Linked DNA regions of Macaca mulatta. The protein of the gene in region 2 purifies or fractionates together with the protein of the main gene of each other region. This does not show direct contact. Links are inferred from orthologs where the notes say so. Each region holds a gene or a part of one and is shown on either strand. Other genes may lie near its edges. The genes, in order: HSP90AB1 and INSRR.

Region 1 (4,372 bases), on a different chromosome or scaffold from region 2:
GAGGGAGGACGACGTGGGTGGCTGTGGGGAAACTCTTCCCAAGCATCCTAGGGGTGGGCCAGGAAGGGGACTAGATGGACATCTACAGGGCACAGAGCAGGGAGCGGCTATTCTCTCCTGGAGGGGCTGTGGGTCCAGCAGGCTTTCGGATGACGCCTTGGAAAGGCAAGGACAGCTTGCCGACTGGAGGGCAGGCAAAAGGGCGGAGACAGGCCAGAGACGGCGGCCGCAGTTCACTGACCAGGAGTATGGCCTAGGGGTTCTGGTGCCAAGGCTGAAGGGGAACAACTTGGCCAGCCGCTCTCTGGCCGGCGTCTTCACGCGGCCTCCAAGAGCTCCTGTTGCCCTGCAGTGGCTCCTAGAGACTCCCTCCTTCCCACGTCCAAATAGCTGCAGGAGGGAAGTGGGAGAAAAAAAGCGAACCAGCTTGAGAAAGGGCTTGACGTGCCTGCGTAGGGAGGGCGCATGTCCCCGTGCTCCGTGTACGTGGCGGCCGCAGGGGCTGGAGGGGGTCCCTCCCGTAGCGACTCCAGTCTCAGAGTGCAAAACGGTACGCCCGCAGAGTCGCCCCAGGTGCTTGGGTGTTGTGTGATTGACGCGGGGAAGGAGGGGTCAGCCGATCCCTCCCCAACGCTCCATCCCATCCCTGAGGATTGGGCTAGTACTCGCGTCGTCTCCGACAGGTCAGAGCCGGTCCCCGGGTGGGGTCGCTGCAAAAACCCTGCTCTGGCCGCAGCCGGAGAGGCGGAGCCCCGCGGGGAGGGGGCGGGCGGGGGCGGGACCGCCGAGACAGGCCTGGAAACTGCTGGAAAGCCGCAGCGCCGCCGCGCCTTCCGCCGCATGCCGGCAAAGAGTCCCGCCGGCCCCGGCCGGCGCCCTCCCCCCACGCTGAGATACCCCACACTGCGAACCCTCCGCCCTTCCTCTGCTCCTGGGAGAGTCAGGATCTGGGGCTAACCAAGGTCGGGTCCCGAATGCCAGTCCCTCTGTCGGGATGCGAAATGTGTAGGGCATATGCTAGGAAGAAGATTGGGTATGGGAGCAGCGGTCGGAGTGGTTAGCTGCCTCGGCTCTTTTTAGGTGTTTCCCCCGGGCTCTGTCCTTGGGTGTGGGGACTCCTGCCTCACAGGTTTTTAGGGAGGTCAATGGATTCCTCGCCCGTAGAGACACCGTATATGCCAAATGAGCACTCCTTATCCCAGCTCTTGATGGGGTCAGGTCCTAGACATGAAGATATGGGGCTGTGATCACAAGCAAACGTGTGGGTGGATCCGTTGCTTGGGTTCTTCCCCGCCCCCTCCTTTTTTCGGACCATGACGTCAAGGTGGGCTGGTGGCGGCAGGTGCGGACTTGACAAGCATGCTCCTTTAAGGCGGAGGGATCCACGGGAGGGCGGCTGTTCTGTGCTTCGCCTTATATAGGGAGACTTGGGGCACGCAGTAGCTCTCTCTAGTCACTCCGGCGCAGCGTTTTGTGCCTGGTAGTCATCAGAAAGCAAGCCCACGTTCTTCTCTAATACGTGTAAGCCTTTTCTTTTCAAGGTAAGGCTGAATTCTTCGTTAGGCTTCTTTAGTGCTCTTTCGTGTTGCTCTTGTTTTTTTCTGTCCTTTAGGGAGCCTAGATACCGGGGTGGCTTGTGGATAACGCCCTGGATTTTTATAGGGTGAGGGTAGTGGTAGGTGAGGGCTCTTGAGTTTTCCTCGGTTTTCTCTAGTGTGCTTGGGCGGTGGGGCTTTCTCTTGGCTCCTCCTAGCCGTAGCGAGGTGGGCTGTGGGGCTGGGGCAGTGCGCGGCGGGCAGCTGCACGTGGTGGCCGCGCGGCCCGGGACGCTGCCATTTTTGCCCCTCCACTTCCGGACGCGGCTATAGGGCGTCGGAGGGGGACCGCAGGATGGCGGGGGTGCCTGCTCGGGTGACTCAGCACGGCCCTGTGGGACTGGCTTTGCCACATCTCTTATCGGACGCGTTGTTAAAGCCGCCTTGGGTGCTTTGTTTCTGTGAGGGTTCATGGTGTGGGAGGAGCGCTTTCGGTCTCCAGCACCCCATACTCCCTCCTTCCAGATCTTTATTGCAGTCCCGGTGGAGGAGGGTTGGGGAGGGGGGCAGGTTCTGGAAGATTCATGGGCTCCCTCCTCCGCCCGTCCTCTAGAGCTGAGATTGTTCTGGAAGCTTCTGGATTCTGGCGCCCCGCCCCAGTGCCCGGATGCTGGGGCGAAGGAGGGTGCACGGCGGCGCCCCCTCCTCGCGTGGTCCCTGCCGACGCATGTCCGGCAGTGACGAGTGTCGGCCTGGTGGTTACGGCCACCATCTTCCTTCTGTTGGGTTTGGGCCTGTTCTGTAATTTTGTCCTGTGAAGGGGTCGTAGTGGAGCTTTTGGCTTATCGATTCTTTGTCCGGATTTAATTGCCCCTCGGGCGGGTATCCTCTGGATCCCAGGTTATTCCTCCCTGCAGTGTAGGGTAGGAGTGTCCCGCCCTTGGGCTGGTCTTAGGAAGACATCTCAGGGGGAGCAGTTTAAAGTTAGTGCCAAACTAGTTACTTTGATCTCCAAATGAAGAACTGTAGGTAGCGATTTTCACATTTAAATTTGTGTAAGGATTATCTGGGATCTCTGGATACCTGGGTTGGACCAGCATTATGAGTTTCTGCCATACTACCGGATGACGCTGAGACTGCTGGTCACCACTCTAAGTAGCTGGGTTCTGTGACATTTGGTTGAAGAACATTCAGCTTATTTTCTTTTTCCTTCTGAATTTTCAGGCTTCCCACTTAGTGTGTAGCCTGAGATCTTTTAAGAGAATGCTTTTTCGGTCTTTTCGGAAGGGATAGTACTCAGGTCAAACCAGTCTCAACTCTTAAGGTCCTAACAAATGAGATGACCTTTAGGATTTTAAAATGTGAGGCCTTCATGTTTTGTAATTAATGATCATTTTTATTTTAGATGCCTGAGGAAGTGCACCATGGAGAGGAGGAGGTGGAGACTTTTGCCTTTCAGGCAGAAATTGCCCAACTCATGTCCCTCATCATCAATACCTTCTATTCCAACAAGGAGATTTTCCTTCGGGAGTTGATCTCTAATGCTTCTGATGTAAGTGCTGTGGTTTCTATATTTGGTGTGTTTATTTTTTTGACACTCTTCGTAGAGAGGAAAGGAGTGGTTTGGCCTTTGTTGGGGACTACTATTGAAGGGGGTAAACTTGCAACTATTCCAAAAAGATTTGTCTTATTCTCTGGCCATCTTGAACTTGAAAGGGAAGTGACTATGTCCAGAAAAAGTGGGCTCATGTAACTAACTGTAGTTCTAAAGCCTCAAGATAAGGGGCAATCAGATTTGAGGCTGAGAGAGGTAAACCAAGATTTTCTTTGAAGACACGGGCTTTAAGAAAGCAAAAGTGACCGAGCGTGTTGACTCACACCTGTAACGCCAAGGCAGGAGGATCACTTGAGCCTAGGATTTCGAGGGCAACCTGGGCAACAGCCAGACCTTGTCTCTGCAAAAAATTAAATATTAGTTGAGCACAGTGGCATGTGCCTGTAGTCCCAGCTACTTGGGAGGCTGGGGTGGAGGATGGCTTGAACCAGGGAGGTCAAGGCTGCAGTGAGCTGTCATCCTTGCTACTACTGCACTGTAGCTTGGGCAACAGAGCAATTGCCTGTCTCGGAGAGAGCAAAAGTAAGTTGCTGTTTGTATTCGTTTCAGGCCTTGGACAAGATTCGCTATGAGAGCTTAACAGACCCTTCGAAGTTGGACAGTGGTAAAGAGCTGAAAATTGACATCATCCCCAACCCTCAGGAACGTACCCTGACTTTGGTAGACACAGGCATTGGGATGACCAAAGCTGATCTCATAAATAATTTGGGAACCATTGCCAAGTCTGGTACTAAAGCATTTATGGAGGCTCTTCAGGTACTGCAGTTCTGTAGGCATACACCATTCATATTCATCAGTGTTCTTTATTTTTTTTGCTGCTTTAAATTTTGTGTTTGACTTTACAAAAACTTGTTGGCAGGCTGGTGCAGACATCTCCATGATTGGACAGTTTGGTGTTGGCTTTTATTCTGCCTACCTGGTGGCAGAGAAAGTGGTTGTGATCACAAAGCACAACGATGATGAACAGTATGCTTGGGAGTCTTCTGCTGGAGGTTCCTTCACTGTGCGGGCTGACCATGGTAAGTTAGCTTTTCTGTTACAAGGTAGCTGGGTTAGAGTTTTGTGGGCTCACCAGTAGCAGAAATTTTGAGCATCCTGTCAAGCAGTTCTTCATAGCAGTTCCGCTAATACTTTATTAATTTGGTGAAGTCTCAACTGCATATACTTTCGTCCTGTTACACGCTTATGATTGACTCTTCTAGGTGAGCCCATTGGCAGAGGT
Region 2 (3,804 bases):
TGCCGCCCGGAGTCCCTGGGGAGAGCGAGTCAGAGCCAAGGCCCAGCCCCAAAAGCCACGCCCCTCAGCCACGGCCCTAGTCCTTCTCACCTTTGGGGGCTCTTGTTGATGGACGTCACCTTCCAAGGGGATCTGGGGAGGCCAGGGGTAGCCCTATCAGGCCTGTCCGTGTGTATCCCTACGCCCTCTGCAGCGCGCACTGCCTCCAAAAGCACCCACAACCCGGGCCCCGCCCACACAAGCAAGGCTCCGCCCACAAACCCCACCCTTCCAGCAAGACCCACCCCTCACAGGCCCCACCCATCAGACCGGCCCAGGCCGCGAGCGCTCTTCGCACTTGGGGATGGTGATCGCGTTGTGTAGAAAGTTTTCAAACTTCTTTTGGAACGAGGCCTCTTGCGCCTCCAGCGGGGGCAGAACCTGACCAGGAGGTGGGTGCTGGCAAGGGCAGCAGCCGGACTCCATCTCTGCCTCAGGATCTCCGTCTTCGCGGTCGAAGCGCGGGTCATTGTTGCTGGTGGGCAGCCGCAAGCCTGGCGCCATAGCGGGAAGACACTAGTAAGACAGGCCGTCTACCCGCCCCTGATTCCCCCATCTGCCCCGGCCCTGCGCCTCCATCTTCCCTTCCCCACCCGCCCCGCGGCCGGCCTGCGCGTCGTCCCTGCCCACCGCGGTGGCAGTAGTCATTGAGGTAGAGGTCGCCGTCCTCTGCCAGCCGCTGCCACAGCACCAGGTAGTAGGTGAGGTTCCCGTTGCGCTGGGTGGGTGGCTTCCAGCGCACCAGGAGGTGGGAGGAGGAGTTGGACGTGGAGATGACGTCCTGGGGCACCGTGGGAGCTAGGAGTGCGAGAAGGATGCAACTCAGGGGTTGTGGGGCTTCCTCTTGAATACTGTCTAGTAATGAGCCCCTCTCTCTGGGGTCCAACAGCCCTGTTCTCCCGAAGAATAGGTGATCCTCATCTCTGCTTTCCTAGAACTCACTGTTTTGTTTCTGTCCTCCCCTTCTCTGCCATAGGCCCTTGAGTTCCCTCAACTACGGACTCTGGACTGTCCCAATCCCAGCCCCGCAAGGACCTAGGCAGATGCCCCCTCTTCTTTCTAGGACTCAAGCATCTGGCCTCCCAGCCTCTGTGGGCCAGGTGTTCAGTGCTGCGGCTTCTCTATTTCTGATGTCTGTGCTCCCCTGTTCTCATGGATGCAGGCGTCTGACTGACTCTTGCGCCCTCCAAATGCTTACCTGCAGGCAGCGTTCGGAGGTAGACGATGGGACTCTGGGCTCCTTGATGGGGGCTGTCCTCATCAGTGGTTAGCGTGATGGCCCGCACAAACACTGCGTACTGTGTCCAAGGCTTGAGGGAGGCTAGGGTCACCCCTGGCTCCTGGGTGCGGCTTAGGGGCAGCTCCACATCCAGCAGGTTCCAGCTCTGGGTTCCACAAGCATCTGGACCCACGTGCTCTGTGGCATTCTGGAATGGGCTGAACACCCATCCCCAGAGCTGAGGGGTCATTCAACCCCACCCCCAAGTTCTGGCACCTCCCCGCCGCCTCCCCCGCACTGAATCACTCCAGGACTATCATTGTCCTTCTTCCAGTACGTGTGAGGGCAAAGCCATGACTCCAGCCACCTGTTAGACCCTGGCAAAGGTGGGGAGGGGACGGCCTTTGATATCTGTGTCAGGGAAATTTGTAATGATGTATCTCCTCATCCTTAGCAGGGAATATCGAGCTCTAGCTTCAATGAATATTGAACAAATCTTGCATTGTATAAATAAAACAAGAAAGTGTGTGTGAAAGAGTCCCCTCTCCTAGAAACAGCAAGCAATAAGGTTATCCTAATTCCCATAAGTGTAATTGCCTGGAACCAGGACCTGGAGACTGCTCCCTTCCCAGTATCTTCACTTAGGCCCTTGAATTGACTTTGGAGGTTTATGAGCCTCCCAAACTATAGGGAAAGTTTGGTGCATGTGTGATTTTCTAGAGGGTTCCTAGCTTCAACAGCTCCCAAACATGTCCGTGACCCTAAAAGGCCAAGATCCATTGCCACAGGGAAATTAAGGGGCCAGAGGCAACTAGTGCTGGCTGCCTGAAGGCCAGTTTCGGGGCAGGGCTTGGGGAAGCATCACTGGCTTTAGGGGTAGAAGAGGGCTCCCTGGGGGAGATGAAAGTGGGACCCACATGGGAGATAGCAGAATAGACCACGGGAGACAATGGAACATCACACTGATGTTCATGATATTTGTTTCTTTGGTTTGGGAAGGGGGTGATGGAATTCATGTCGAGCCAGGGACAAAACTTGAGGGAGGTCATATTGGGTGGTGATGGGGGAACTTGTGGCCCAGCTGGAAGTGCCTGCCTTTGTTGGGACCTATAAGCAGGATAGTCCAGGAGCATCTTGGGGAGGGGTGCGCAGGGGCTCATAGTGGGTGTCATGGGAGCAGGTGTCCTGTGAGGCATGACACACTGAGCAGGTCTGGGTCTGTTTGGAGTCAGGGTTGGGCAGGATCTGCAGTGTGTGTCTCTGAGGGAGCATAGCTGCAGCCACACTGCAAGGCAGTGATGTTAGGGAAGCTTCTTGAAGGACTCCCAAGGTTCTCTGCTCTTTGAGCCCAGAGACAGCTGTGTATAGTTGTGCCGATTGTGAAGTGCCCAAGCCGGGGAGCCAGGGGAGATTCACATTGTAGTCAGGCCAGTGCTCCATAGAGTGCAGTCCACAAACCAGCAGCTTCAACATCTCCTAGGAGCTTATTAGACATGTAGATTCTTGGGCCCTACTCAGGATTAACTGAATCAGAATTAGTGAGGGTGAGGCCCAGGAATTTGTATTTAACAAACTCTCCAGCTGCCCATGCTAGAGACCTTCACCTACCACTGAGACCTAGGAGAGTCTTGGCCATTTGAGTGGGTCTCCTACAACTGACTTCCTTCCTCTGTCCTCCCAAGCCAGACCCTGAGCTGGTGGTCAGCTAAGTTATCTCCATTCTAATTCACAGGAAATGCTTCTAAGCCAGGTGGCCTCCATCTTCTATACTATCTATCAGAGAGAGAGAGAGTATGAACTCCTTACTCCTGCTCTCTCAGTCTACATTCGAAATCCATCTGCCTCCTCTAAGGATGTCTCCTTTTGATTCCTAGCCGTGTTTTTGGAGAAGTCCTTCCTGTGGTCTAACCACTATCCTTACTGTTAGGGTCAGTTGACTCTCGCCAAAGAAAAGAGCAGTGTGGTCCCTGGCGGCCCCTGCTCCCTCCCTTCCTAAGGCTTAAATGAAATGCTGGCAGAGCTGCTCATAAAACTGGCCAAATTAGTGGGCGCTCCCCAAACCGCTGCTGGGGCAGGAGCGTGTGGTCAGTGTAGAACATTAGCATAATGAATTGAAGTTTAATGATCCAAGCCTTCCCAGCACGATGGCTCTCCTGGGCTCTCAGAAGCCCTGTCTTCTCCATTTCACTTGGTGAGGGGAAACCGAGGCACGGAGGCATGAAGAAGGTGAGAGAGCCAGACCTGGACCCTACCACGGAGTACAACTTGGGGGTCCTTGAAGACAACTGGGTCTTCATAGCCTCGCTGAGCTCCGCCCTCACCTGCCTGTGGTCCCTAAGAAATTGGCCTCGTCCGGCCCCGCCCCCGCTCCGGCCCCGCCCCCGGCACTCACGACTCCTTGTAGTACACGATGAAGCTGAGCAGGTCGCGGGCCTCCAGTGGCTCGTAGCGCTCCCAGCGTAGCAGGATGCGGTCTGCCTCCGTCACGTTGGACACGAAGCGCAGGGTGCGAGTCTGGCCTGGGTGGGAAGAGGGGCCTGCTCTCA

The links.
Region 1: the proteins of INSRR (region 2) and HSP90AB1 purify together in Homo sapiens (affinity purification with mass spectrometry; 3 studies listed by BioGRID and IntAct, with this or other methods). This does not show direct contact. The link is inferred for Macaca mulatta from reciprocal best matches to the Homo sapiens genes INSRR and HSP90AB1.

What each region holds. Positions count from the first base shown.
Region 1 is NC_133409.1:137,866,760-137,871,131, reverse strand, and holds the start of HSP90AB1 (heat shock protein HSP 90-beta), read left to right. Parts: upstream 1-1,441; 5' UTR 1,442-1,541; intron 1,542-2,940; coding exon 2,941-3,087; intron 3,088-3,699; coding exon 3,700-3,906; intron 3,907-4,009; coding exon 4,010-4,169; intron 4,170-4,352; coding exon 4,353-4,372. UniProt on the Homo sapiens protein: Molecular chaperone that promotes the maturation, structural maintenance and proper regulation of specific target proteins involved for instance in cell cycle control and signal transduction. Undergoes a functional cycle linked to its ATPase activity.
Region 2 is NC_133406.1:110,077,150-110,080,953, reverse strand, and holds part of INSRR (insulin receptor-related protein), read right to left. Parts: intron 3,778-3,804; coding exon 3,651-3,777; intron 1,477-3,650; coding exon 1,238-1,476; intron 838-1,237; coding exon 670-837; intron 534-669; coding exon 338-533; intron 133-337; coding exon 91-132; intron 16-90; coding exon 1-15. UniProt on the Homo sapiens protein: Receptor with tyrosine-protein kinase activity. Functions as a pH sensing receptor which is activated by increased extracellular pH. Activates an intracellular signaling pathway that involves IRS1 and AKT1/PKB.